5 linked regions of the Oryctolagus cuniculus genome follow. The protein of the gene in region 2 interacts with the protein of the main gene of each other region in a pairwise test. Links are inferred from orthologs where the notes say so. Each region holds a gene or a part of one and is shown on either strand. Other genes may lie near its edges.

Region 1 (5,082 bases), on a different chromosome or scaffold from region 2:
CAGGGGTCCGGCTTGCCTTGTGCGGCTCGCTGCACAGGGCCGGGCGGGGGCTGGCGGGAGCAGCCTCTGGTGTGGCCCCAGGAACTCCTGCAAAGCGGGCGGCCTGTGCCCCCAGCCCCTGCCACTTCCCAAGGAACAGAGACACCTGCTGGAGGAAGTGGCCAATGGCACAAGGCCTTGGGCAGGTGCAGGGGCACACGTGCTGGCTCCTGCGATGCCCTCCCCACCCTGTCCATCCTGGCTCCCAGCAGCCCCCACTGACCTCCCGTGGAGGACTCCGACTACTGTGCCCCCACCCTCCCCGTGACACAGCGTCCCTTGCTTGTCCCTTCGCCCCAGGGAGGTCTGCACCAGCCTAGGGACCACGGCAGGCACTGCAGCTCCGTGTCCCAGTGCCTAACACAGCCCCTCTCGGTGTCACCGGGGCCTGGTGGCCGGAACCCTGAATCGAGGGCCTGCGCTGAGGCTGGGGTGGGGCGGACTCACCATGCCACCCCTGGACGCTGAGCGGCTCGGGCCTCGCTTCCCTCCCCGCAGGCCGCCCTGGCGAGGAGACGCGTGCTGGTGGTGCGCCACGGGGAGCGAGTGGACCAGGTCTTCGGGAAGTCATGGCTGCAGCAGTGTTGCACCCCGGACGGTAGGTGGCGTCCAGGCGAAGCTCCAGACAGCAGTGCCCCGGCCTTTTAACACCAGAGATCCCCTCTGTGGTGCCCGACCCCGGGGCCCATCGTCTGTGACGACGATGACCACAGTGCCACGTGGGGTGCAGGCTGGGGTGCACCTGCACGTGCAGGACGTCTGTGCAGTGGGTGCAGGGAGCCAGCGAGTGCACGTGGAGCCACGACACCTTAGCAACCACAGCGGTGCCGCCCCTGAACCCCCCAGCTGCCACACGGCCCCCGGCCCCTGTCGCCTCTCTGGGTCTCTCCCAGCTAATCCTGACTGCCACTGCCACGATCCCACGACACCTGCTATGCAGCTTGACAGGCACACAGGGCTCTTGTTCTCAGCTCTGCGCTCCCAGCTGCCTGGGACTGAGGACCGTGCGGTGGACACAAGGTGGACCCTGTACGGGTGACCCATGCCCCTGGCAATGCTCACTCCAAAGGAGAGCCCTGAGTTACGCCACCAAGCCGCGGCTGACTGCATAAATTAAGGGATCGCCCCAGAGAGACAGAGTCCGTTCACAAGGGCGGGACTGGCCCAGAGGAGGGGCCGTGGGTGAACCAGGGGGTGCTCTGAGCTGTCACCAAGGGCTCGCAGGGCCCAGAACATGGCTGCCCCTAGGAAGTAAGGCCTAAGGGAGACAGAACCAGACAGCAGGGGGCAGTGACACTCACACACAGGGAGCCGGCTCAGCTGCCCTGTGCTGCAGAAGCCGACGCCTGGGCCACCTGGTGGCTGTGAGCCAAGCAGAGCGGGCTGGCGGCACCATCTGGTGAACAGAGCAGCCCACCTCCCGCTGTCCCTGAGCTCAGCACCAGGCTCTGGGCACTAGCTCCCTGGCCCTCCACGTCCTCACTTTTCCGAGGAGAGAGGTTAGGTCACCTGCTTCTAGACAGCACGCAGAGCAGCTAGGGCTGGGGTCTGCCGGCCCGAGGTCCAGCACAGGTGCCCCACGCAGCCTCCGGGCACCCCCAGGCTGAGCAGCCGTGGCTCTGGGCAGCCCCGGGGGCGGGGTCCAGCTTCACCCGATTAACTGAGGTCGACTTGAGATGACTGTCCAGGTAAGCCACGTCCATCACAGACACTCACAGGAAAAGTGGGGGCACCTCTGCAGAAGCCAGGGAGCACCGAGGGGCCGGAGCTCTGTCCCGGGACAGAACCCACGTCTGAGCACCCAGCCCCCGGGAAGCGACGCGGTGACCTTGCTCGCCACGGGGGTGCGGCCTGGGGTGCTGTGGGGCAAGTCCGCCCTGCGCGAGGACCCGGGGCCGCTGACACTCCTCTGTGCCCTAGGGAGGTACCACCGGCCCGACCTGAACTTTCCCGGCAGCCTGCCCCGGCGCAGCAGCGGCCTCAAGGCCTTCGAGAACGACCCGCCGCTGTCCTCCTGCGGGGTCTTCCAGGCCAGAATGGCAGGTAGGGGGTAACGGCCCTAGCAACTGGGCCCAGCTGCACGGAGGGAGCCCCTGCCGCCTGCCCTGGGCGTCAGTGTCAGCGTCAGCCTCACTCCCAGTCTAGGAGGAGGAGGAAGCCTGGCGGGGAGGGCCAGGTCTCACGCACAGTCACCGAGCGGGGAGGAGCGTGTCCCACCCAGCACCGGGCGGTGTGGGGAGCCGGGAGGAACGGAGGACGGGCAAGCGAGGGAGGAAAAATCAACCCCACCGGGTGCTGAGGAGGTGGCTCAGGTTAACAGCCCCGTCCCTCGCCGGCGTTGTTTCGAATTCTGTCACGCTGGGCCCTGCTTTCTGGCTGGGGTTCTGCTGTGTTCCACTCCGCTGTTGGCTCAGAGAGACCCCCGAGTGCGTCTGGACTTCGTTGTGTGGATTCGGAAACTCGAATCACAGAGGCCAGTGGGCATCCCTGGCCACACAGCTGCTCCCTGCAGGGAGCCCAGGGGCCGGCTGTCCTGCTGTCCACCCAGGGCCCGGCTGTCCTGCTGTCCACCCAGGGCCCGGCTGTCCTGCTGCCCACCCAGGGCCCAGCTGTCCTGCTGTCCACCCAGGGCCCGGCTGTCCTGCTGCCCACCCAGGGCCCAGCTGTCCTGCTGCCACCCAGGGCCCGGCTGTCCTGCTGCCCACCCAGGGCCGGCTGTCCTGCTGTCCACCCAGGGCCCAGCTGTCCTGCTGCCACCCAGGGCCCGGCTGTCCTGCTGCCCACCCAGGGCCGGCTGTCCTGCTGCCCACCCAGGGCCCAGCTGTCCTGCTGTCCACCCAGGGCCCGGCTGTCCTGCTGTCCACTCAGGGCCGGCTGTCCTGCTGCCCACCCAGGGCCCAGCTGTCCTGCTGCCACCCAGGGCCCGGCTGTCCTGCTGCCCACCCAGGGCCAGCTGGCCTGCTGCCCACCCAGGGCCTGGCCGGCCAGGTTGCCCTGCTCGCTGGCCCCAGTGTGGAGCGTTGGTTGATCTCCGAGTGAGAGTGCCGTCCTCACACCACGGCTGATCTCAGCTCCCAGGGAGAGGGCCCCGGACGCAGTCGGAAAGAGAAGGCATCAGCTGCCCGGGGCGGTGTGAGCTGTGGGCTCCGTGTGTGTGTGTGTGCACAGCAGTGTGGGCTCCGTGTGTGTGTGTGTGTGCACAGCAGTGTGGGCTCCATGGGGGGGGCTCCGTGTGTGTGTGTGTGTGTGTGTAGGTTCCGTGTGTGTGTGTGTGTGTGCACAGCAGTGTGGGCTCCGTGTGTGGGGGGCTCCGTGTGTGTGTGTGTGTGTAGGTTCCGTGTGTGTGTGTGTGTGTGTGTGTAGGTTCCGTGTGTGTGTATGTGCACAGCAGTGTGGGCTGACTCCCCACAGCTCTGTGTGTGTGTGTGTGCACAGCAGTGTGGGCTGACTCCCCACAGCCCTGTGTGCTCCGTGTGTGTGTATGTGTGTGTGTGCATGCGCACACAGCAGAGCAGCTGAGGGCCTTCCCAGGACCCAGAGCCGCCCTGTCACTCAGCTTTGCAGCCCCGAGCCTCACCCCTGACTCCCAGCCGGCTGCATGCCCCCAGCTCGTGTGTGTGTGTGTGTGTGTGTGTGTGTACGCTCCGTGTGTGTGTGTGTGAGCACCCACGCGTGGGCGTCTGTGTGGGCCCTTCCTGGCTGGCCTCTGCCCTCACTTGCTCAGGCTCCTGCAATATGGAGCCCACACTGGGTGGCTTAAACAGTGGACAAGCCTAGCCCCGCAGGGCTGGGGCCCCAAAGTCCAGGCGGCTGGGCCCCCGGGGCTGTGTGTCCCAGGCGTCTCTTGCTGGCTTGCGGGCAGCATCTTCTCCTCGTGTCCTGTGGGTGTCGCTGTGTCCACCCGTCACACGGGCTTAGACCTCCCTCCCTGTGACTTGGTGACGGCGTCCCTGGTGCCCAGGGCAGCCTGCAGAAGCCGGAGTCCCTGAGTGAAGTGACACAGGGGCCACAGAACCCACACACAGCCTCCCGACCCTTCAAGTCTTCTAGACCACTTGTGGTGCCGCACACAACACGAGCGCTGGGTGCGAAACTGTCACACGATACTATCCAGGGAGTAACCACAGGAGGAAACGGTACAGGCTTAGCACAGGTGCAGTCTTTTCCCAGATCTTTGGACCTGTGATTGGTTGAATACCGCGGCTGTGACCTCACAGCTGGGCCGGGTGCAGCCGCCCTCTAGAACCCCATTTCCCAAAAAGTGGCAGTCGGAGATGCCAGGGGCTAGGACCCAGGGAGACACAGCTCCACCCGTCACGGCCCCCACACCTCGCCTGTAGCTTGTGTGCCCCAGGACTCCCCGCTTCCCAGAGGGCGGGGCTCTGAGGCACAGGGGCAGCCTTGGGCTTCCTGATGCTGCAGAACAAGTGGCCGCGGCCCTACGGCCCCAGCTCTGCAGACCAGAAGCGCAGGCTCAGGGCACTGAGTCCCAGGGTTCCAGGGCCCTGAACCAGGAGTCAGCTGAGCTGAGGTCTCATCCCGAGCCGGGGCTCCTTCCAGACCCACGCAGGCTCCTGGCAGGATTCAGCCCTGTGGCTGTGGGCCTGGGCCTGCCTGGTGCTGGCTCTCAGCTCCTGAGGCCGCCACACTCCTCGGGCACCCAGGGCACTCCCCCGGGAAGCCGACAGCCGTCTTCAGAGCTCTCCGGCTTTCTCCGGGCCCACTTGGAGGGAATCTGTGCGTCTGGGGTGCTCCTGGCTTGGGCAGTCCCCCAGGATCAGCTCCCGCTGCCGCTTAGTGTACGGTCATCACGGGCTCCGCCTACACCCCAGGGAGGCAGGTGGGGTGCACAGACCACAGGGTGGGATCAGGCCGTCTCAGCACCGTTCCTGCCGCAGGGGGTGAGTCTCCCACTGCAGGCTGGAACTCCGAAGGGCCGTCTCCCACCTGCTCTCTCCCAGGGGACGCACTGCAGGCCAGCGGCATCCGAATCGCCGCTGTGTTCGCCTCGCCAGCCCTCCGCTGCGTGCAGACGGCAAAACA
Region 2 (5,706 bases):
TCCTTTTTGTTTTCAATTAGACAGTTTCTTGTGTTTACCTTGTGCTTACATTATTGGTTAAACAGTTCCCCGACAGCAAACTGGAGATTGTTGGAGGGAGAAAAAGAGACCTAGATGACATGGGATTCCCTCTTGTTATGCACGACAAATACAAATTCCTAGTTTATTCCTTATTGACTCAATAAAAACTTAAGGTGTTCTATCCAGTCCGAATAAATTCAGTGTTAAGGCTTTGATCCGCAACTACTCTGCTTCTTCGCAAAGTTCCTGCAGCTCTGGGAGAACACATCAAGGGCAGAAACGCCTCCCAAGAAGCCGCTAGCGGGGTGCCGGGGTTTGCAGAGACGTAGAGGGCGCTTCTGCCACCTGCTCTGCTCCCCAGATCTGCTGGCCCGGCCACCGACTGCTCGTCCCACACAAGCCTTGCACAACCAGGCTCCCTTTCCCTAGGTTTCAGCTGCAGTTCTCGGAACCAAGACAACTCATCTCACACTGAAAACGGAGTGCATCCAAGGGAATCGCAGGGAAAGCCACCGTGAGCGGCGTTTACAGGATAAATACCTTTTTTTTTTTTTTATTCCTTTTAAACCAGCAGGTCTAATGCGCATTTCGGAAGGCAACCCCGCCAGCGGACAACTTCTGGGGAAAAAAAAGAGCCTGGCCCGGCACCGGGCGAGCGCCCCCTGGTGGCCGGACGAGCCACACGCGCAGAGGCGCCACTCTTCCCCGCAGACTGGATAGACTCGGACAAGTGGCGAGCGGCCCGGGCCAGAGGCCCGGCTGTCGCACCCCCGCGGCCCCAAGGACGCCGCGTCGCGGGCAGACATAACCTCGTCCGACCTTCCCAGAGCAGTTGGGGGACGTAGGCGCCTGCCCTTGCCCATCTCTGGTTCCAAATCCCAGGGGAGGAAGGAAGGGAGCCCTAGAGAAACATGGAGAAGGCAGGGAGAGCGCCAGGGACATTCTGCAGCAGGAACCCGGGGTCGCGTGGAGGAACGAAGCGCCATGGTGGACCCCCGTGTGGGGCAGAGCTGTGCAGGTGCTGCTCGGGACCTGCGACCTAGCAGGCAACTGCTTCCCCGCCTTTAAGTCCTCAGAATGCGCGGTTAGAGGTGTGCGTGCGCGCATTTCGATCCGCCACCGGGGCTCCCACGTGCAGGCACGTTTCTGAGCAAATGCACGTGCATATGTATAGGACTTTCTACTGAATGCCTTCAGCACGGGCCGTGGGGGCTTCCGGAGAAGGGTGGGAAGGGACAGATGACTGCTGACCGGGCCGCGGAGAGACCCGCGCCGGGAGCGCCCTCCCCCCACCCCCATCTCGGAAGCCCACGACAGCGCCCCGAGATCGCCGAGCTGACTTTGAAGAGCAAGGCTGCAGCCTCTCCCTCGGCTGCTGCGTCCGGCGACGCAGAGAGCTCTCCCTGCAGCCACCGTCTGTCTCCCTTAAAACACGAAAATTCTAATAAACTCCCAGTCGCCACAATCCAGCCTGAGCAGGAGGTACTTGAAACCCGAATCTGCATTCCGCTCCTCTCGTACAAGGCTCGGAGGTGGGGGAGGCGCGGCTGGGGCCGGTGCCTGGTGTATAATCGGGTTAATCCGGGAGACAAAGAATAAACCAATAGCCCTCCCACCGCACTTCCCGCTCCCCTTCCCCCACCCCCACCGTGTAGAGGGGGAGCAGCCGAGGGGCGAGCAGACTCGAAATGGATTCCGGATGAAGTCTTAAAAACCTGCAACTTGTTTTTCATTGCTAACGCGGCACGGCCCCGATCAGTCTCTCTGGCGGCGAGAGAAAGTTCCATAAATCAGTCCGAGCCTCCGGCTCATCCTCCTGGCCTCGGGGGGTGTCAGGGGTGGGGGTTGGGGGGGGCCTTAAGGTCAGTGTTTCCTTGAAGCTGGATAAACCGACCCCGTCGCGCGCAGCCGGGCTCCGCGGGCGCCCCGCGGGACGGCAGGAGCGGCCCGGGGACGCGCGGGGCGGCGCGGTTGCCCTTTTGAATGCCTCCTGCGGCTCGGCGCGCTGGCGGGCGCTGGAGTGTGAGTGAATGTAGCCCCGCGGAGCCAATGAGCTGGGACCGGATGCGATATATCCTCTGGGACAACAACTGCTCTGTTCCGCCTCGGATCCACATGACGCCATTTACTGCTGCCGCGGCCGCCGCAGAACTCCCTGCCTCCTCCGGAAAGGCGAGGGCGCAGGCCAACAGCGAGCCCCCCCGGCCGGGCCCCAGACCCCCCTCCTCCTCCGCCTCCTCCTCCTCCGCCTCCCCCTCCTCCTCCTCCTCTTCCTCCTCCTCCTCGGCACCCACCGCCCCCGCCTCGGCCTCGCTGCCGAGCCTCCACAACGCCCAGTCTGCACCGCCCAGAGCTGCGCGCCGCAGCGCGAGCGGAGGAGAGGGGCCGGCGGAGCGCGCAGCGCCCAGGCCCCCGCGCCCGCCCGGCCCGGCTCGCGGCCGCCCGCGCCTCCGTGCCACCGCTGCGCCGACGCGGCCGGGGCCGCACGCCTTGGCGATCTGGCTTCTAGGGTCTTTCTGTAAGGCCACTTTATTTTCTCATTCGCTCATCTGCCAAGAACGGGGACTCGCTGTTGGCGCTTCGGCCTCTTGTTCATTGAGAAAAAAAAAAAAAAAAAAGGAAATACTCCGCGTGCGCTTCTGCAAGGGGGCTCGCCTCCAGCCCTGAAACCCGGAGTTGTTCATCGGCGAGGGACTTGGCTCCGAATTTTTCGCTCGTATTTTTCTGTTTTGTTTTGTTTCCTCCCGCCGATTGCTCGAAAGTTGGACTGAAGCAAAGTTTGGAAAAAAAGGGGGGAAAAAAAGTTTGCATCGGGGCTGGATTTATTTGCACATCGCAGAAAGAAGAGACTCCAAGGGAGAGGGGTTGGTGCAAAGCCGCGATCACGGTGAGGCGCGTTTCGCTCTTCCTCTGCTGGCGCCGTGGCTGGCGCGGTGTGGGCAACATGGAGTAGGTGCAGTTGGACCGGGAGTGGGGTCTGCCTCTCCCCCGAGCCTCGCTTTCTCAAACCCCGCAGGTTGCCGGCGAGCTGCCGGCAGATTTCCCTGGCCGAGGACCTGGGCTCGGCCTGCCTGGGAGGGGGCTGCAGTGTGCGCCCCGAGCGATGTCCCCCAGCCGGCGACCCTGCGCTCCCGCGCGCTGTGGGCTTGGGTCGGAGGACGGCTCTCCCCTGGTCTGTTCCCAGCCCTGCGTCGACCGCGAATTCGGCGCTGAGAGCGGGAGACGGAGGGAAAGCACTTTGTGCTTCTCTGGCCGCCGTTGCGGGCGCTAGCATTTCTAACCTGTTCCTCCCTCCTTGCGAGGCAAAGTTTTCTGGGGGAGCCTGTCCCGGGGCGGGGGCGCCGGTGGGGCCGGGGTGCGTGGGGTGCTCGCCCCACGCGGGCAGTAGGCCCCGCGGGTGGAAAAGGGGCGAGGGTGCGTGGTGCAGGCAGCCCCCGCCGCTGCCCTCTGTGGACAGTCTGGCCCACTGAGGGTGGGAGCGTCGCCCAGCCTGGCGCCGAGGCTCTGCGGTTCGGAAGTGCAGCTTTCTCCTTTTTCCGTTCCCCGTGATCGGCCTGGGTCACGCTTTTTTTGGGGGGGGGGGGGTGGAGGGGAGAGCTTGGGTTGACCTAGTACATTAGGAAAGTCATCGAGTGTGTGCGATCGTTTTGCATGACCTGAAAGTAGGTGGCAGATGAGGCTCGTTTGTAAGTTCTCCGGTTTATGTTGTAGTCGCTGTCGTTTAATTTGGGATCTTGTGCACTTTTTTTTTTTACAAAGCGGTTTCTGTGTCGGTTTGCCCCACCCTAAGTGCTGAAGTCCTTTCCCCCCCTAATCCTCAGTCTGATCACACACTGTTCTTAATGGGGTTTTCAAAGCACTTCGAGAGGGAGGGGGGACCGGGGAGACGGGGAGAGAGCCGAGGGGGAAAGGGGGGGCTGCAAGGAGGAGGCCGGGGATCGGCAGAAATCACTTTTTTTTTTCCGCTTCCCAAAGATGCTACTTTACACTGTATGCAAATCTACCTCTAAAGTTTCCAACCCAGGGACTGGATCCTGCACGCCTGGCGTAGGCTCTGGGCCCTGGGGGAGGGGGACGGGTTATTTTTTTTTTTTTTTTTAATTAAACTTTAAGAAACAGATCATTCCTGTTTCCCTTCCCCTCGACCCAGGAGACCGGCGTGCGCGCTACAAGCCATGCCCGCTTCAGTCGGTGCGGCGTGCAGTGGCCGCGTGCGCGTGGGTCAGACTCCCCGGGCTCCATTGGAAACCTGAGCTCCACGTTCGCGGACCCCTGCAGACGCGTCGTGGGCTGCGTGACCTCTGCCTGCTGGTGCGCGGCTCCCTCTTGGGGCTGGCAGGCGGTTCTCGGGAGCTGGGGAGGGGCAGGCGGGGGAAGTGTGCTCGTGCGTTTCATGACACGTCCCCTTCCGAGGCGCCCGCGCCCCCCGCCGGTCGGTGCGTCTCGGCCCCGGCGCGGCGGGGCTGGGGGCCCCCTGGCCCCTGGACAGCGTCAGTCAGCCTGGAGAAAAGTCCCCCGGGCTCCGGCTGTGTCCCACCTGCCGGGGACGGTGTCTGGGCGCAGATAGAGCCGATAGACCGAGGGGAAGCCGAGCGCCGCGTTGTCCTGTGTGCTTGTCCTGCTAGAGGTGAGGAGATCCGGTTTCCAGGCGCTGCCTGGTCGCGAGCTGGGAGGCGATTGTCACCTGCCTCGCTCACCGCGGCGCTGCCTTTTGTAAAAAGCGGAGGTTGGGGAAACATGCACTTTTGCCCGTTTTGACTTTTTAATGTTCGTGTAGTGTTGGGAACGGGGATGGTAGTTTTGAGACTTAAAAGGGGCTGCGAGCCACGGGTTTGCTGGACAGAATGCTGGGTTTGAGATGTGGCGCTTGGGTTTTTAAAACACGTTTCCTGTACTAACGGTGGGTTTATGCTCTCGACTGTTAACTTTCCGAGAGGAGAAAAGTTAAGATTTTGACACATTTTATGCCTAAAACGGGGAGAACAGCCTTTAGCTGCAGACCCTGAGGTGTTCCGGGCTATCAGGCTGTAAAATGAGCCCCAGGTTGCTGAGAACTTGAGAATAAGTCCCTGTCTTTCTTGTTCCTCGTTGTGTACCTCTGCTGTGATCTGTTCCTGGCACCTAACAGCGTTTGATTTGATTTGTTTTTAGTTCTGTAGCTTGCCCTTCTAGGTAGTTAATAAAAATGGCACATTGTTGTTAAATTTGTGACTGTTCTTGGGACGTTTGCTTTTTTTGCATGTCATCTTCATCCTGCAGGACTGAAAAGGTCACAGAATATTGGCTAAATCATACTGCACGTGTCTGATGTAAAAACAGCTTTGAAGTAAAAACCAAGAGGGAATTTTCTCTGCTGCATTTATTGATGTTTAAGGCAAAAAAAAAAAAATAGCCATGACAAATTTAAGCCTATTTCAGAATTTGAAAAGGCATTCAGCTTTTGCAAATGTTGGTAGCAATGTTATAATCCAATGTTACTTTCTTGCAATTTTTACATTGAACCTGAACCTTGCAAATTGTGTGTTTATTTGAATAAGGGATTGTTACTTAAGTGATTCAAACAAAGGTCAGCTTTGTGTCAGCGCATTTCACAGGATTACAGAATTGTCAGTACCCAGCCATAATTCTTGCTTTTTGTTTTGTGCATTAGTCTTATGGCTGTTACAATACCTCCCCACCACAACT
Region 3 (5,876 bases), on a different chromosome or scaffold from region 2:
AGTAAGAGGGGGAGACAGAGAGAGAGGTCTTCTTTTTGTTGGCTCACTCCCCAAAAGTCCACAACAGCTGGAGCTGTGCCGATCCGGAGCCAGGAGCCAGGAGCCTCCTCCCAGTCTCCTATGTGGGTGCAGGGGCCCAAGGACCCAGGGCATCCTCTACTGCTTTCCCAGGCCACAGCAGAGAGCTGGGTTGGAAGAGGAGCAGCCAGGGCTAGAACCAGCACCCATATGGGATGCCGGCGCCACAGGCTGAGGTTTAGCCTACTGAGCCAGGGCGCTGGCCCCTCCAATGGCTTTTCGACTTGGTTTGGATATGATTTGTCCTTGCCAAAATTCACGTTCAAATTTAGTTGCAATGTAGAGCTTTAAGGAGTGATTAGTATCTGTCTCATGAGATTGGTCTAGTTCTTGCAGCCTGTGTTAGTTCTCAGGAGTGGGCTGTTAGAAAGCTGGTTGAGGGGCCAGCGTTGTGGCATAGTGGGTAAAGCTGCGGCCTGTGATGCTGGCATCCCTTATGGGTGTTAGTTTGTGTCCCAGCTGCTTCCATTTGGGCACTGGATGGAGTCCGGGCTGCCCCACTTCCAATCCAGCTCCCTGCTAATGGACTGGGAAAAGCAGCAGAAGATGGCCCAAGTGCTTGGGTCCCTAGCACTCATGTGAGAGAACTGTATGAAGCTCCTAGCTCCTGGGAGTGAACCAGTGGATGGAAGATCTCTGTCTCTCCCTCTCTTAACTGTGACTTTTAAATAAATAAATAAATAAATAAATAAATAAAAAGATTTTGGAGGGGTGAGCAAGAGACTGCAGTAAAATGGTACTTTTTTCTCTGTAAATTGTCTGTGGTTAAGAGCCAGAGAATGAGTTTACAAGGGGGCAAAGCAAACCTCTCTCTACAGATAGAGCCCCTCACTCATAAAGATGGGTGGGGTGCCTTTGGGTCCCCAATCACTGGCCATTTTCAAGCCTAAGTCGCATATCTTGTTAGAAACGTGTAACGGTATGCATGTCCCCTTCACTCTGCCAATGCTTGGTAAAAAGCTTTGTACGAGGTGCATGCAGAATACAGACAGAAATCACACGTGGTTCCGCTGTAGGCCAGCTGTCAAAGCACCCTCCTCACAGTCCCAGGTGGTCTTGTTAAAGGGCGGAGCCTGATTCCCTATGTGGGAATGGGGCCCGGGAGTCCGCATGTCGAACAAGCTCCCTGGTGATGCCGGGGCCGCTGGCGGACACGAGTATCCCAGGCTGACAGAGCTTTGCAGTAGGGAACGAGACACGGATGAGATAATAATACACAGCAAGGATCCGCAAAGGCCCCGAACCTCCATTCATGATCACAAAAACGGGGTCCCTCCCAACCCGAGGGCTGTCTGTGCCCTTATTATACCTTCCGCGTTCCTTCTGATGGGTTTTGCTGCTGCTCTGTCTCCGGAGTGTTATTTCTTCCAGGGGTGCCCACCGCACAGGTTCATTCCGCTAACATTTCACTAATCCTCACGGGCTAGCGGCCGATCACTCCATCTTGAGCTCTTCCCGGGGACCCCAGTCGGGCTGACTTCTCTCCCCCGGTACCCAGTGTTCGCGTCCAGGGACAACCACTCCTTCCTTCTGCTCGGGGCCGAGGTCCGTTCTCATTCCCTGTAGGAAGCCACCTCTCCGGGTCGCCCAGGGCCATGACGCCGCGCACACCACGCCTGTGGGGCGCCTGAGGCGGGGTGAGGACGCCCGGGGAGCGGCCGCCGCGGGTCCTCCCGGCAGCCTGTTCCCACGGAGCCCACGCCCCGGCGGTTCCGGACGCCGCCTCCCTCCCGCCCTTGTGCCCCCGCGCGGCCCGGCGCTGGCTGCGGCGCGCGGCTCACCATCGAGGCGGCGGCTAGAGAGGCGGGCGGGCCGCAGGGAACGCGCACGGGGCGGGCCCCCCGCGCCGCTGGCCTTGTAGCCATTTTAGGAGGAAACCAGGGGCGCTAGCTCGGGGCGCGGCTTCAATTTCAATAACTTTATTGGTGGCGTCACCCGCGGGACGGCCATCGCGCCGGTGGCCTGGACAAGAAGGAGCGCATCGCCGGAGGTGGTGACGGGCGTGGGCGCCCTGGGGCAGGCGGCGCGGGCTGCGGGGGAGGTCCCCATAGCGGTTCCCTGAGCCGGGGCCGCGCCGAGGCCCGGGAGTTGCGGGGGTTCCCGCAGGCCGGGAGGGAGGGGATTCCCTCGCCCGGGTCCGCGGGCGCAGGGGCGGGGCCGGGGGCGCCGGTGACGGACGCGGCGTCTGGGGTGTTCCCCGCCCGGTGTGGTGCCCCCGCGGCAGGTGGCCCCCGACTGGAGCCGCGGTCATGGGAAACACCACCAGCGACCGGGTGTCCGGGGAGCGCCACGGCGCCAAGGCTGCGCGCGCCGAGGGTGCCGGCGGCCATGGCCCGAGCAAGGAGCACAAGATCATGGTGGGGAGCACGGACGACCCCAGCGTCTTCAGCCTGCCTGATTCCAAGGTAAGCGGCCTCACGCCCCAAGACGTCGGCGGTGCTGCAGCCGGCTTGGTTTCGGGCTCCTCCCTTGCTGGGTTCCTTCTCATGACACTGAACTGGGTGATGGGTTTTTGAATTAAAAGGGATTTTCCGAGTCGAAGGTGTTGGATGGTAATTCCTCTTACGGTGCTGCTTCAAAATAGGGCGAGGCGGCGGAATTCTCTGACTAGTCTCTCCGCCACGTTTTAAAGGATGGGGACAATAGACAGCCGCCGTTTCGGGTACCCTCTTGGAGTGTTGATGAATTTGCAGATTGTAAACTGGGTGGGGAAACTTCGCAGGGGAGGTGGCAGTTTTTCACATTGGCCCTGAGGGTGGCTCAGTGAATTTCATTTTCCTGAAAATGTCTGTGTATCAGTGTCATCTTTGCCTTTCTAGGAGCTCTGCACTTGAAATTCTCTTCCCCTTTGGTACGGCCGTGAGCCGCGACTCCTTGCCTTCTTGACTACTTTGTCCTAGGCTTGGGATCAGTAGGACGTCATTTGGTTGACTGCTTTTGCTTGGTCCAGCACTGGTGTGGTGGCCGACACCCAGCTGCTTGCTGGGAGGGCAAATGATTCCCAGTCCCCTCTCCTCTCCAGGAGAACTTGAGAGTGTTGCCCGTGGCTGAAAACACCCACCCCCAGCTGCCCCTCTGAAGCGCCTGCTCTCAGTTCCTAGGACTTCTGGGAAGACCAACTTGCGTTCACACTACAGAATGGACAGATGGCGCTGACAGCCATATGATTCCAGAGCAGTGTCTAATCACTCTTAGAACTGTCGGCATGAAATGCATTTAATTTCTCCAGTTGGGCTGAGTAGGGTGAAATAGAACAATGGAGAGACAAAGATGGCAGGGTCTGATGTTTTTATCACTTCATCACTTTCGTCCAACTAGGGCCTCTGGGCAGAAAGAGATCCTTATTTGCCACATTGCTAGTACAGGAAATTTGCATGCTGTGGTTTCTTTATCTTCTGGAATCCCCATTGAGAACAGAATCACAGACAGAAAAGAGAGTGATTGAAAGGAGTTGTTTTGGGATTTCTTTTCTGGTGCTTTTTTTCCCTTTCAACTTGAGAATTTCTTCCCCATCATTTGGGCTGTCTCCGCAGCCACCTGAATTTACTTGTTCAGAATTTTCCCAACGTGATCTGCCTCCTGTGTTTTTACCCTTTTTTGATGTTAATGACTCAGGATTTAAGAACAGTGTGGTTGTGAAACTGTGACTGCAGCATTTGATGGCCTCAATAAAAGCTAGGTTGTTGTGTCTGAATTGGGGCCTATTTTGGATCATTTTTTCCCCCACATTGCAGTCTTGCCATTTGTGATATTTAAAAATTGGCTTATGTAATTCCTAAGGTTTCATCCAACTCAAAAATTTTGTAGTACTCCATCTACTCTCTCCTTTCCTCAACATGTTTCTCACCTATTTCCAAACTATGGCTCTAGCTGTTGTTTTGCCCCTTTTCCTGTTGGTTTTGCCGACTATTTAACTTGGAGCAAATATTCTTGCTGCCAGTCGGCTGCATCCGTTCCTACCACAGAAATGTTGTGTCATAAGTGGGAGGGCTTTCCTCCGAAGCTAGGCATATTAATAGTCCATAGCTTTCAGATTCTGCACTGAAGATCTGTCATAAAAGTAACTGACGGAAACAGTGGTGGGAGGCCCAGAGGGCTCCAGGTGCCTGCCTCCATCACCAGACTGGTTGGGTGGTTCTTAATCCTGGTTGCACATAAGAATAACCTGAGATTTGTTTCAGTTATGGTGACTCTGAAACCTTTACCAAGTAGCAAGAACAGTATAATGAACTCTGTGTACCTGTCAGCCATTTTAAACAATGACCAAGTCATGAATGAACATGTGTCATCTAAGTCCCAATCCACTGTATCCTCACCAAAGTATTTTGAAGCACATTGTAGACATTGTATCGAGTATTGTATCATAACATTTTATAATGTGCTAAAGGTGATTTTTTCGCTTTTAGTAGAAAGTCACACTGTTATTATCAGGGAAGATTTTTAGAAGTAGATTACCAGCTCCTGTATCTGCCTCAGAGCCTGAGAGTTATTGTTAGGTCTGTTAAAAAAAAATCCTGTGAGTCTGATGCAGCCAGTCAGGCAGGAAGGCATTGCTTTGAGAACATGAGGACCGGGGTTTTCTCTTAAGCCTGAATTATGCTATTACTGGGGTCTCATACTTAGTTTTGAGGAATATCAAAAGGCGCTGTGGGGTCAGCAGTTTGGGGCAGCATTTTAGAATGCCACTTAGGGTGCCCATATCATATTGGAGTGTCTGTGTTGAAGTCCCTCTGTTCCCTGCTAATATGCACTGTGGGTAGCAGCAGGTGATGGCTCAAGTACTTGGGTCCCTGCCAGCTGTGCGGATTTTCTCTACCTATGTGGACTGGGATTGAGTTTCTGGCCCACCCCATCAGTCTGAGTCATCCCTGGCTGTTGTGAGCATTTAGGGAGTGAACCAGCAGATTGGAGATCTTTCTGTCTGCCTTTCAAATAAAATAATAGTAAATAAATAAATAAATAAGTTCTGAAAAAGGCAGTATATGGAAGGTAGATTACCTCAACCATTTTGAAACAAATGCCCAAATGAATAAGCTAGTCTTTTTTTTTTTTTTTTTTTTTTTTTTTAAGATTTATTTATTTATTTGAAGGGCAGAGTTACAGAGAGGCAGAGAGAGTGGGAGAGGTCTTCCATCTGCTTATTCACTCCCCAGATGGCCACAATGGCTGAAGCTGTGCTGATCCAAAGCCAGGAGCCGGGAGCTTCTTCCGGGTCTCCTACATGGGTGCAGGGCCCCAAGGACCTGGGACATCTCCCACTGCTTTCCCAGGCCATAGCAGAGAGTGGATCAGAAGTGGAGCAGCCAGGACTCAAACTGGCACCCATATGGGAATGCTGGCACTGCAGGCGGTGGCTTTACCTGGTACCCCACAGTGCTGGCCCCAATGAGCTAGTCTTGTTTATTTTAAACCCATACTACTTTTTTAAAAGACATTATTTATTTTAAAGGTAGAGTTAGAAAAGAGAGAGCGAGAGGGATCATCCGTCTGCTGGTTCACTCCCCAAATGGCCACTATGGCCAGGGCTGGGCCAGGCCAAAGCCAGAAGCCAGAAGCCAGGAACTTCATCCTGGTCTCCCATGTGGGTACAGGGGCCCAAGGACTTGGGCCATCCTCTGCTGCTTTCCCAGACACATTAGTAGGGAGCTTGATTAGAAGTAGAGCAGATAGGCTGGTGCCTTGGCTCACTAGGCTAATCCTCCGCCTTGCGGCGCCAGCACACCGGGTTCTAGTCCCGGTCGGGGCACCGGATTCTGTCCCGGTTGCCCCTCTTCCAGGCCAGCTCTCTGCTGTGGCCC
Region 4 (5,782 bases), on a different chromosome or scaffold from region 2:
ACCCGAGGAGAGCGGGGAGGGCTCGCCAGCCCGGCCCCGGGAACTAGAGCACGCCTTCCCGCCAGCGGGTGGGCCCTCACACAGCCCACCTGCTTTTTGCATTGGCCGGTGGTGGCCAGCAGGTGCCCGCTGTGGAGAGAGGGTCCTAGGAGCTGAGAGGAGGGGTGGTCCGTGAAGTGGCTGCTGGCATTTCCGGAGCTGCCCCAGCCCCCTGCAGCCGGGGTGCCACTGTGACCAGGCAGGTGCTCGGAGGAGCCAGCGGCTCCCCTGCCCGGGGCACAGAGCAGGTTTCCCTAGCGGGATGGCAGCCAGAGGGCGAGGATGGAGGGCTCCCGGAAGCCAAGGCAAGTCGCCGCCTCGGGGCTGTGGGAGCGGGAGGCGGCGCTGCGGCCCCCGGCCCGGCCGGTGTGGAGCCCGGGGCGGTAGCTGGTGGACGACCCCTGGAGGGGCCGGCAGGAGGCTGAGGCGCAGGCGCCTGACCCCGTCCCGTCGCAGATGGTGGCCGACATGCGGGAGAAGCGCTACGTGCAGGAGGGCATCGGCAGCAGCTACCTGTTCCGCGTGGACCACGACACCATCATCGACGCCACCAAGTGCGGCAACCTGGCGCGCTTCATCAACCACTGCTGCACGGTGCGCGGGGAGCCGGGCCGCGGGGGGCGGGCGGGGCGCCGGGCCGCGGCTCACTCTGCCCGTCCCGCAGCCCAACTGCTACGCCAAGGTGATCACCATCGAGGCGCAGAAGAAGATCGTCATCTACTCGAAGCAGCCCATCGGCGTGGATGAGGAGATCACCTACGACTACAAGTTCCCGCTGGAGGACACCAAGATCCCGTGTCTGTGCGGCACCGACAGCTGCCGGGGCTCCCTCAACTGAGGTGGGCCAGGCCTGTGCCCACACCCCTATTTATAAGCCCTGGTGCCCTGAGCTCCCGCACCCCCAGCCTTAGCGGGCCCGGCAGGGCCCACGTGCCCCCTTCTCCCGAGTGCGGGGCTCGGGGGGCCCTGGGCCCAGCGAGGGAGCCTCAGTCCCCGAGGCAGCTCTGCCTCCCCCGTCCCCCCAAGCTCCCCTCCTCGTCCCCCCCCCCCCATTTTGTTTCTTTGCGGAGAAGAAGCTGTAAATGTTTCGTAGCTGCCAGCAGCTGTTTCCTGTGGAAACCTGGGGTGCCGGCCTGTACAGATCCTGTTCTTGGGGGGCTGCCCAGCCCTCCTGCTTTGTGTTCATGGGGACTTCCCCTCATGCCCTGCGCGCACCCCTCCCCGGTTTAGGGGTCTCTGGGGCAGTGGCCATGTTCTCCCCCTGGGGGCCCTGCGCCCCCAGTCCTGGGGACTCCGTGCCTGGAACCCTGCCTCATCTTCTGTTCCTGCCAGCCCCTGCGGGCCATGCCCCCCACACCCCGCCGTCCTGGAGGCTCCCGCCGAGCCTGGCCAGGACGGTGGGGGAGGTGGGTGGGCCCTTCGTGCTGGGCTGGACTGTATATATGTTAATAGCGCAAACCCAACGCCACATTTTTATAATTGTGATTAAACTTTATTGTAAAAAAGTGCTTGGTCAGTATCTTTGGGGAAGAGTAGGGTGGGCTGGGGTGGAGGACAGAGGGTGGGGCCGGATGAGAGGCCAAGCGGGGGTGGGGGAGCTCTTGGCTCAGGCAAGGGGGCAGACCTGCAGAGCCAGCTGCAGGACCACCTCACCAGCTGCCACCCTGTGCCAGGAATCCCCCGCCAGGGCCAGCCAGAGCGGGGCCAAGGTCAGGCCTCCCTTTCCTTCCCAGAAGCACAGCTGCTGCTAGGCCTCTGGCCTCCTGGGAAATCCAGCAGGCGGGGAAGGCTGAGGTCAGGCCCTGGGAATGAGGTCACCCTGCTGGCGCCATCCCGAGGTCCCCAAAGCCCTCAGCGCCCATCCAGCAGGTCCCGGCCCCTCCATCCCTTCTCCCCAAGTTCTCTGCAGGATCCAAACGCCAGCGGAGCGCCGAGCGGCCACCAGGGGGTGCCCTGTGGCAAGTGTGCAGGGTGGGAGGTGGAGGGGGTGGAGGCTGAGCTGCTCTCCGTTCCTGGAATGGGCCAGGAGGGAGGAGGAGGAGGAGGAGGAGGAGCAAGCGGAAGGAAGACGGTATGAGGTTGGCCGGCCAGCTCCTTTGGTGGCCAGTTTGGGCTCCCCGGGACAGTGGCCGCAGGTAGGTGGGGGGTGGGTGAAGGGGGGCAGCCCAAGGCCCCAGCAGCCCGGCCCCTCCCACCTTCCATACCCTTCCCTGCCCGTCTCCCCACTCTCCTGATCTTGTCCCCCAAACCTCTTTCCCCAACCCCCCTCAAACCCTGGCCCCCCACCCCTCTCAGCACCTCTGCAGCTGGCAGGCTCCGAGGACAGGTGACCCGGCTGCCGCGCCCACAGCCGAACGGCATCTGAGAGCAGGTCTGCCCCTCCGCCCGCCCACCCACTTGCCCTCCAGCCCGCAGGGCCAGCAGGCCCCGAGCAGGTCGCAGCAGGCAGCACAAGTGAGCCGGGGTCATGGAAGAGTCTGCCCAGGCCCAGAAGCTGGTGTACCTGGTCACAGGTGGCTGTGGCTTCCTGGGGGGACACGTGGTACGAATGCTGTTGGAGCGGGAGCCGCGGCTCCGTGAGCTGCGGGTCTTTGACCGACACCTGAGCCCCTGGCTGGAGGAGCTGAAGACAGGTGATTGGGGCGACGGGGGGGGGGGGGGGGGTGTGTGTGTGTGGAGGGATAGACTCCCCAGGGAGGCTCCTCCCTCCTTGGTGGAAAACATGAGCCCTGTTTATATTCTGTAGCCCACATGGATGGGACGAGTGAGTCACATAGGGAACGTGTGGCTTCCAAGGGTGTAGGCTGAAGCCAGCGGCAGCCAGTGGCCCCCGCCCTCATTGGCCCTCTGGCCTCCCCGGTTCCCACCAGGGCCTGTGCAGGTGACTGCCATCCAGGGGGATGTGACCCAGGCCCACGAGGTAGCAGCCGCTGTCGCCGGAGCCCATGTGGTCATCCACACAGCTGGGCTGGTGGACGTGTTTGGGAGAGCCAGTCCCCAGGCCATCCATGAGGTCAACGTGCAGGGTACGGCGGCCTGATCCTGTCTGTTTGTTCACCTCCCTCACTCTGACCTTGACCTGGGATTCTGCTGGGGCAACCTGTGACCAATGCTCCATGGGTGACTGCTCACTACTCCTGTCCCAGCTTCATGGGACCTGTTGTGGGTCGTGCCCCCCACCCCCGGTCCTGGGATGGGAAGGGAAAGCTGCTGAGAGGGAAGAAGCCCCAACTTGGATTACCCCCCCCTCCCCCAGGCACGCAGAATGTGATCGAAGCTTGTGTGCAGGCTGGGACTCAGTTCCTGGTCTATACGAGCAGCATGGAGGTCGTGGGTCCTAACGCCAAAGGCCACCCCTTCTACAGGTGAGCTGAGGTCCCCGAACCTCCCGGAAGTCCATCTCCCCCTCGGCATTGAGTCTTCCCTCTCCCCTCACAGGGGCAACGAGGACACCCCATATGAGGCCGTGCACAAGCACCCCTACCCGTGCAGCAAGGCCCTCGCCGAGCGACTGGTCTTGGAGGCCAATGGCAGGAAGGTGGGACTCGGGGAGTGAGATGCGGCGATGGGGCCTGGCCCATCGCCAGGGCAGGGCCTGGCCTGGGACCCACGTCCCTGCTATCACCAGCCCGAGGAGGCCCAGGGGCAGAGGGCAAGCCACTGGTTCCGTGTCCTTAGCAGAGTCTGCCTTGTGCCGCCAGGTCCGTGGAGGGCTGCCCCTGGTGACGTGTGCCCTGCGTCCCACGGGCATCTACGGTGAAGGCCACCAGATCATGAGAGACTTCTACCGCCAGGGCTCGCGCCTGGGGGGCCGGCTGTTCCGGGCCATCCCAGCGTCTGTGGAGCATGGCCGGGTCTACGTGGGTGAGGAGTGGGCTGGGCTGGGGAGGCCAAGATCAGGCGGTGGGGACGCTGGGCTTACCCCGGCTAGCAAGGATGGTGTGCACGCAAGCGTGTGTCCTAGCTTTAGCCTCTCGACCAGGCTGCAGGGGCCGGGTGGGGTCGGGCGGGGCATGGCGAGCCCCAATAGGGAGTGGCTCATGCATGGGCTGGCCCAGGAATGCACCTGCCTGGGTGCTGGGGCGCTCAGGGCCACGCGTTCCCCCCTCACCACCACCACAGGCAACGTGGCCTGGATGCACGTGCTGGTGGCCCGGGAGCTGCAGCAGCGGGCGGTGCTCCTGGGCGGCCAGGTGTACTTCTGCTATGACAAGTCACCCTACAAGAGCTACGAAGACTTCAACATGGAGTTCCTGGGCCCCTGCGGACTGCGGCTGGTGGGCTCCCGCCCGCTGCTGCCCTACTGGCTGCTGGTCTTCCTGGCTGCCCTCAACGCCCTGCTGCAGTGGCTGCTGCGGCCGTTGCTGCTCTACGCACCCCTGCTGAACCCCTACACGCTGGCCGTGGCCAACACCACCTTCACCGTCAGCACCGACAAGGCGCGGCGCCACTTTGGCTACGAGCCCCTGTTCTCCTGGGAGGACAGCCGGACCCGCACCATTCTTTGGGTGCAGGCCACGGGGGAGGGCTCTGCCCACTGACGTCGGGCCTGGGGGTCTGGAGGCCCTCCCGGTACAGCCACAGAGGCCTGGAAGGGATGGGACCATGGATGGCCAGGCGGCTCTGGCGCTAAGTCCGTGGCTTTGTTCTGAGACTCCCACGCTCTAAGGCAGGGTGTGGGGACAGGCGTGTCTTCATTCTCAACCTCTAGGCCAACTGGCGAGGGGCCGAGTCCCCGGTGTCCTCCACTTCCATCTCTGGCTTCCCAAGCAGGAGGCCACGGAACCGCCCCAGGCCTTGTGCTGGTGCAGGTGCTGGTATTCCCAGATGCGGGTGATCGCAACCTGCAGGCCCAGGGTCACAGAGTGAAGCGGCCTCTCTGTCTCTCCTCCCACCTGTCCCTCCTGGGGCAGTTGGAGTTGCAAGATTTTCAAACATGTGTCACCTGTATGCAGCCATCATTTAATTCCCGTCAGCACAGGCTGAAGACTTGAGTGTATTTTTCAACTTCTCTCTTTCCACCCAGACTCACAGGGCCTGCTGTAGCCCAGGAAAGCTGTCCCTGCCCGAGCCCTGAATTAAAACCCTTCTCCGAGCCTGCGTCATGGAGTCTGTCTAGCTCCCCAGCCCGCTCTGCGTCTGCCCCTCCGCACGGCGACTGTCCCCCCGCCCCCCACCAGCCCCCCTCCACCGCAGGGACAGAAGCAGTGAGCACACGGCACACCCGCTGTTGGATTGGTTGCTATTTCTCCCGTCCCACAGGGCCCGACCCGGCCCGGGGGGTTGGGGGTGGGGACGCTCTGCGGACAGGACATGCAGGGCCGGGGGTGGGGACAGAAGTTGTCTCTGTTTGATCCATTTGCAACTTGGTCACCAATAGAGAGAAATGGGACTCAGGGCTAACAGGAGAGGGTGGCCTGGCTCTGGGCCCCCCAGCCAGGCCCCAGGAGTCCTGTCCCCCTCTGGGGAGGGGAGGGAGAGCGCTCTAGAAACCAATGGAGAAACGGAGAAGGGGGGGCAAGGGCTCATGTCAGCAAACACGGCTACGTCACGTGACACGCCAGCGACACAGAAACACACGCCAACGCACACGGCTGCACAGCGGGCAGGGAGGAGGGGGCAGGGCCGGGAGGGGGGAGCCCATCTTGTCCTCTGCGGGGCGGGCGGGGGAGGGCAGGGTGAATGCATAGAACACGTCATGTTGTACACGCTCAAGGCGTGGCAAGAGCGTGTGTCGCCCCAC
Region 5 (5,082 bases), on a different chromosome or scaffold from region 2:
AGGTCTTCCTTTGCCATTGGTTCACCCTCCAATGGCCGCCGCGGCGGGTGCGCTGCGGCCGGCGCACCGCGCTGATCCGATGGCAGGAGCCAGGTACTTATCCTGGTCTCCCATGGGGTGCAGGGCCCAAGCACTTGGGCCATCCTCCACTGCACTCCCTGGCCACAGCAGAGAGCTGTCCTGGAAGAAGGGCAACTGGGACAGAACCTGGCGCCCCGACCAGGACAAGAACCCGATTTGCCGGCGCCGCAAGGCGGAGGATTAGCCTAGTGAGCCACGGCGCCAGCCAAGACATTGTTTTTATACTTTGCTTTAAGTTCTTTAGATATGATTTCCTTTAGCTCTTTAGTATTTTTCATAGCAAGGTTCTCTGGGTTCTTGAGAACATTTGAGTATTGTAATTTGAGTTCTGGAAAAGTTAATTCTGCAAATTTTTGCCAGTTTTTCATTGCTTTTGCAGAGTGACAAACTTTTCAGAGGTTTTTAGTCCTCTAATGTAATCTTTCATTCTTCAGTGTTTTGTACAAAGTTCACTTGTTCCAATAGCATTTAGTAAACAAATTGCCCTGTTCTACTTTATTTCAAGGAACATTCATAGTGAAAGTTTATAATTATGCTTTATTAATTACATATGGAAGTAACCAAAAATTTGAAGCCTTTTTCTTTCAATCATGTTTCTTGTAATATAATGGGTAGCATGATACCAGTGTTAATAATTATTTTGCAGATACTTACACATTAAGTAACTTTGTATTTTTCTCTTACTTCTTATGCCAGGTATCATAAATGCATGTCAGATTTTATGGGACTTCATGAATAGTTGTTCCTATTTAGTTTATTTTTGTTTTTTTTTGATAGCCTGTTTTCTCTGACATTATATATTTGGACAGTTAAGTACCTCATATCCTGGATTCACATCCTATCACCAGTTCTGCACACCTGTCTATCATGTGGTTCTTTTTCTTACTCCCAGAGTCCACTTTTTCTTTTGCTCCTTTTGCTAACTTCTTTATCTTGTTGTTAATCTCTCCCACCCTAATTCATTATTTCTCATCAAAAAGTGTATTCTAGCATCTTCCATCTTCTAACATCTTGCATCTTCTTTATCATTCACATACCATTCTAGTTATCCTATGTGTTAATCCATTAATTTCTGGTTTTTTAAAAAATTAAATTATGAAACATTTTAATCCTATAGCTGAAGCCAGTAGCCTGCAGCGCCAGGTGGGTGTAAGGGGCCCAAGTATTTGGGCCATCCTTCACTGCTTTCCCAAGTATATTAGTAGGGAGCTGGAGCTGAAGACGAACAGCTGGGGCTAGAATCAGTGTTCATACATGATTCTGGTGTTGTAGGCAGTGGCTTAACTTGCTATACCCCAATTCCAAACCCTTCATACTCACTTTTAGGTGTGTAGAAAATAACCTTTGATTCTCTGTATTGTTAAAAAAAGATTTGCAGAATCATTACTATCTTATTTGAATTGTCAGGAAGATTCTGGGTTGGTTTGTTTATCATTTCCTTTAAGGCAGAGAGATACAGAGAGATCTTTCCTCCACTGATTGTCTCTCCAAATGCCTGCAACAGCAAGAGCCTGGAACTCTACCTGGGTCTCCCATGTGAGTGTCAGGACCTGTGTACTTGAGCCATATCCTACTGCTAGGAAGCTGGAATCAGAAGTTGAACTGGGACTCAAACTTAGGCACTGTGATGTGGGATGCAGATATCGCAAATGCTGTCTGAATTACTGTAGCAAACACTTGCCCCAAGATTCTGTTTTTTAAAGGTATGGTTAGTTCACATAACTGGATACATGTAAACAATTTTCTGAACAAGGCAAACAAATAGAGGTACCATTGTCATCTCCTGTGATTTGTGAAACTCCTGCTTTTCCCTTAGATTGGTTATCCCGTGTGTGTATGTGTGTGCTCACAGATGCAAAACAGAACCAAGAAAAGTATAGCAGAATGAAATGTTAGTAATGGGGTAGCTGTTTGTTGCAGTGGCTTAAATGTTTATTGGGATGCCCTCATCCCATATCAGAGTGCCAGCAGGTGGAGGATCCTCTCTGCCTCTTTATCTTTGAAATAAAATGAAAATAAATAAAAATTAAAAGAAAATATTGGTGAATATTAAATATTAAATGTTAGTAAAATGAATTTCTCTGTTAAATAAGATATGAATATAGGTAGAAGTTCTAATGTTTGCTTTCAGTGTGATGTGCCACCCCCATTTTAGAGGCTACTTTGAATAAATTAGAAATATCACCAAATTTATTTAAATTTGCTTTTGTGTCGTTTCCAAAGACTCAGTATTTTGCCTTGGATAAAGTTGATGGTGGTTGTGGCTCAGTGATAGATCATGTTTTATTGTACTATTCTTTCTACTTCAGTTTATGTTTAAAAATTTCCATAATTATTAAGAAGTCAAAAAAATAGATGCCACCACATCTTTCCTCTCGTTTCATTGGCTTGTGCTAGGTCAGAAGATTTTTCTTTTCACCCCACTTTGTACCCTACCTCACCCTTTTCTGTTTGCCTTCAGAAAGTATTAATTCCAATGCTAAATTTGACAAAAGTGAATCCTGGAACTTGTGAAAAAAATTCTTTCTTCATGATTTTCTTCTAAATTATTATATGCTCCTTTCTGCTGATTTTTATATATTTAATATTTTAGCATAGTTATTTTTATAATCTCACAGTGGTTTGTGATGCAAATGGTGACATAAAGAAAAATTAGCAGCTCTTTGAATATTATTGTTGATATACTTTTGCACCTAATGAGATTTTACAGTCTTGTAAATGAAGCATTTTAAAAGTAAAATGGATTAGTGAAAGCTTTTAGAATACTGATAAAATCACTTTTATGTTGAAAAAATGTTTTAATTTTCATGTATTAATGTAGCATTAATTTCTTTGGAAAATATTATTTTCAGCTTTAAATTTATTAAGTGGTAATAACAATGCTTTATTTTCTTTCTTTTCAAGATACGGAATATATGAACGTTGTCGAGAATTGGTGGAAGCAGGCTATGATGTACGGCAACCAGACAAAGAAAATGTTACACTCCTCCATTGGGCTGCCATCAATAACAGAATAGATTTAGTCAAGTATGTGTTTCCTGTATATTTAATGAGTAGTTGTTTTTTTATTATAAATTATTAAATATTTATCATAAAAATAATTTCTAAAAAGTCATGGCTTTTAAAATATTAGATTTTACGTACCTTTTTTCCTGATGAAAATTGCTTTTAATATGTATTGATTGCTTTTCTGAGCCATGTATTGTAATGAATACTTTTATTTCCTTTAATCTTAATTCTTGAAGTAATCCTGTGTAAAATACAGCAGGTACCCTGTCCTACTGATATGGAAACTAAAGTCAAAGAGGTTAATTTGAGTTGGAATTTTTAAGAAAATATATTTCTATTTTTATTTTTTTTAAAGATTTATTCATTTATTTGAAAGTCAGAGTTACACAGAGAGAGGAGAGACAGAGAGAGAGAGAGAGTCTTCCATCTGATGGTTCATTTCCTAATTGGCTGCAATGGCCAGAGCTGTGCTGAAGCTGTGCTGATTCGAAGCCAGGAGCTTCTTCCAGGTCTCTCACATGGGTGCAGGGGTCCAAGGACTTGGGCCATCTTCTGCTTTCCCAGGCCACAGCAGAGAGCCGGAGTGGAAGTGGAGCAGCTGGGTCTTGAACCGGCACCTATATGGGATGCCGGTGCTTCAGGCCAGGGCGTTAACCTGCTGTGTGTCACAGCGCTGGCCCCAAGAAAGTATATTTCATTCAAAACTAACTTCTCTTTAGTTCTAGTATAACCATTCACAAACCATTTTCAGCATTATATAATGTCTTCCAGGGTATCTTAGGAACCAATTTATGAATAGTTAAATAGTTGTGCTCTTTATAATTTGATATTCTGGAAATACTTTGTTAAGTTACTTTGAACTATTCTGCATAATAAGTGGAGTTGGCCGTTTATTGTATAATGTTTTAAAAGTACTGCTGTAACAAGTATTTGTATGAAGCACAAAACTTCTGAATTAAGCATGAGTGTATTCAGCGTTTAAAATGATGTACACTAGAAATAGTAATCTAAATCATTAATCCTTACTTAAAACAGCTTCAGAGCTTAAGTGATCAACATATGCCAAGTATTTGACATCAAATGCCTTTTTAAAAAATGATTTATTTATTTATTTGAAAGCTAATGTAACAGAGGAGATAGTCCATCCACCGGTTCACATTCTAAATGATTGCAACAGCCAGGTCTGGGCCAGGCCAAAACCAGGAGCCAGAAACTCCATCTTGGTGTTCCATTTGGGTAGCAGGGGTCTGAGTACTTGGGCAAGTTTCCTATTAGCAGGAATCTGGGATCAGAAGCAAAGAAGCTGGGATTCAAACCAGCTCTCTGATACGGGAGGCCAGTGTTGCAAGCTGCAGCTTAACCTACTGAGCCAGAACAGCAGCTCTGTTAATCAAATGCCTTAAAATAGTTTATGCTCAAGAATTAATGCATTGACTAGTCCCAGAGAAAGTATTGTATTAAACAGCTAGATCTCATTTATTTCAGAGGATATCAAGCTATTATGATGTTATTAAGCAATATGATAGCTATGTCTTTTTAAAGTATCATAACTTTAAAAGTATAACAAGGCTTAATGAAGAATCTTTATGTTATAATTTAAAGTTTATAAAATATTTCATTGTTTGATTTGACCTATAGAAAAGTAATGTTTAAAAAGCTGAAGTTACTCAAGGTAGACAATATCTTGCCTAATTTATAGCTGTTCTAATTTGAAGACTGTATGCTACTATTTTAAATCTTTATGGTTCTTTGACTACCTTTTTTATTTATGTCATTTCTGTTCTTTATGTCATTTCTGTCATTTTCTTCTGTTCTTTGTCATTTTTGTCATTGTTCTTTATGTCATTTCTTTTTGTTGCTTTTAAAGCTATTTTCATTTTACTTTTTGAACAAAATAGTTGTATTTTGATACTAAACCATCAAAATATTTTTTTCTTCAAAGGCACAAACTAACATGAGATTAAAATGGAAAACTTTGTATTTCACATAATT

What was found.
Region 1: the proteins of SPRY2 (region 2) and UBASH3A interact in binary tests that used the Homo sapiens proteins (3 or more experiments, as listed by UniProt). The two-hybrid records come from large-scale screens. The link is inferred for Oryctolagus cuniculus from reciprocal best matches to the Homo sapiens genes SPRY2 and UBASH3A.
Region 3: the proteins of SPRY2 (region 2) and PRKAB2 interact in binary tests that used the Homo sapiens proteins (3 or more experiments, as listed by UniProt). The link is inferred for Oryctolagus cuniculus from reciprocal best matches to the Homo sapiens genes SPRY2 and PRKAB2.
Region 4: the proteins of SPRY2 (region 2) and HSD3B7 interact in binary tests that used the Homo sapiens proteins (3 or more experiments, as listed by UniProt). The two-hybrid records come from large-scale screens. The link is inferred for Oryctolagus cuniculus from reciprocal best matches to the Homo sapiens genes SPRY2 and HSD3B7.
Region 5: the proteins of SPRY2 (region 2) and ZDHHC17 interact in binary tests that used the Homo sapiens proteins (3 or more experiments, as listed by UniProt). The link is inferred for Oryctolagus cuniculus from reciprocal best matches to the Homo sapiens genes SPRY2 and ZDHHC17.

What each region holds. Positions count from the first base shown.
Region 1 is NC_091435.1:3,136,893-3,141,974, reverse strand, and holds part of UBASH3A (ubiquitin-associated and SH3 domain-containing protein A), read left to right. Parts: intron 1-537; coding exon 538-637; intron 638-1,959; coding exon 1,960-2,082; intron 2,083-5,000; coding exon 5,001-5,082. UniProt on the Homo sapiens protein: Interferes with CBL-mediated down-regulation and degradation of receptor-type tyrosine kinases. Promotes accumulation of activated target receptors, such as T-cell receptors, EGFR and PDGFRB, on the cell surface.
Region 2 is NC_091440.1:31,924,977-31,930,682, forward strand, and holds the start of SPRY2 (protein sprouty homolog 2), read left to right. Parts: upstream 1-2,230; 5' UTR 2,231-2,908; intron 2,909-3,961; exon of another isoform or gene 3,962-4,648; intron 4,649-5,706.
Region 3 is NC_091438.1:50,111,227-50,117,102, forward strand, and holds the start of PRKAB2 (5'-AMP-activated protein kinase subunit beta-2), read left to right. Parts: upstream 1-1,928; 5' UTR 1,929-2,327; coding exon 2,328-2,483; intron 2,484-5,876. UniProt on the Homo sapiens protein: Non-catalytic subunit of AMP-activated protein kinase (AMPK), an energy sensor protein kinase that plays a key role in regulating cellular energy metabolism.
Region 4 is NC_091450.1:6,168,156-6,173,937, reverse strand, and holds HSD3B7 (3 beta-hydroxysteroid dehydrogenase type 7), read left to right. Parts: upstream 1-2,034; 5' UTR 2,035-2,174; intron 2,175-2,334; 5' UTR 2,335-2,506; coding exon 2,507-2,672; intron 2,673-2,909; coding exon 2,910-3,065; intron 3,066-3,295; coding exon 3,296-3,404; intron 3,405-3,477; coding exon 3,478-3,577; intron 3,578-3,740; coding exon 3,741-3,903; intron 3,904-4,161; coding exon 4,162-4,580; 3' UTR 4,581-5,134; downstream 5,135-5,782. Other genes in the region: histone-lysine N-methyltransferase SETD1A, read left to right, coding at 496-633, 704-877. UniProt on the Homo sapiens protein: The 3-beta-HSD enzymatic system plays a crucial role in the biosynthesis of all classes of hormonal steroids. HSD VII is active against four 7-alpha-hydroxylated sterols. Does not metabolize several different C(19/21) steroids as substrates.
Region 5 is NC_091442.1:79,306,812-79,311,893, forward strand, and holds part of ZDHHC17 (palmitoyltransferase ZDHHC17), read left to right. Parts: exon of another isoform or gene 1-2,118; intron 2,119-2,985; coding exon 2,986-3,108; intron 3,109-5,082. UniProt on the Homo sapiens protein: Palmitoyltransferase that catalyzes the addition of palmitate onto various protein substrates and is involved in a variety of cellular processes.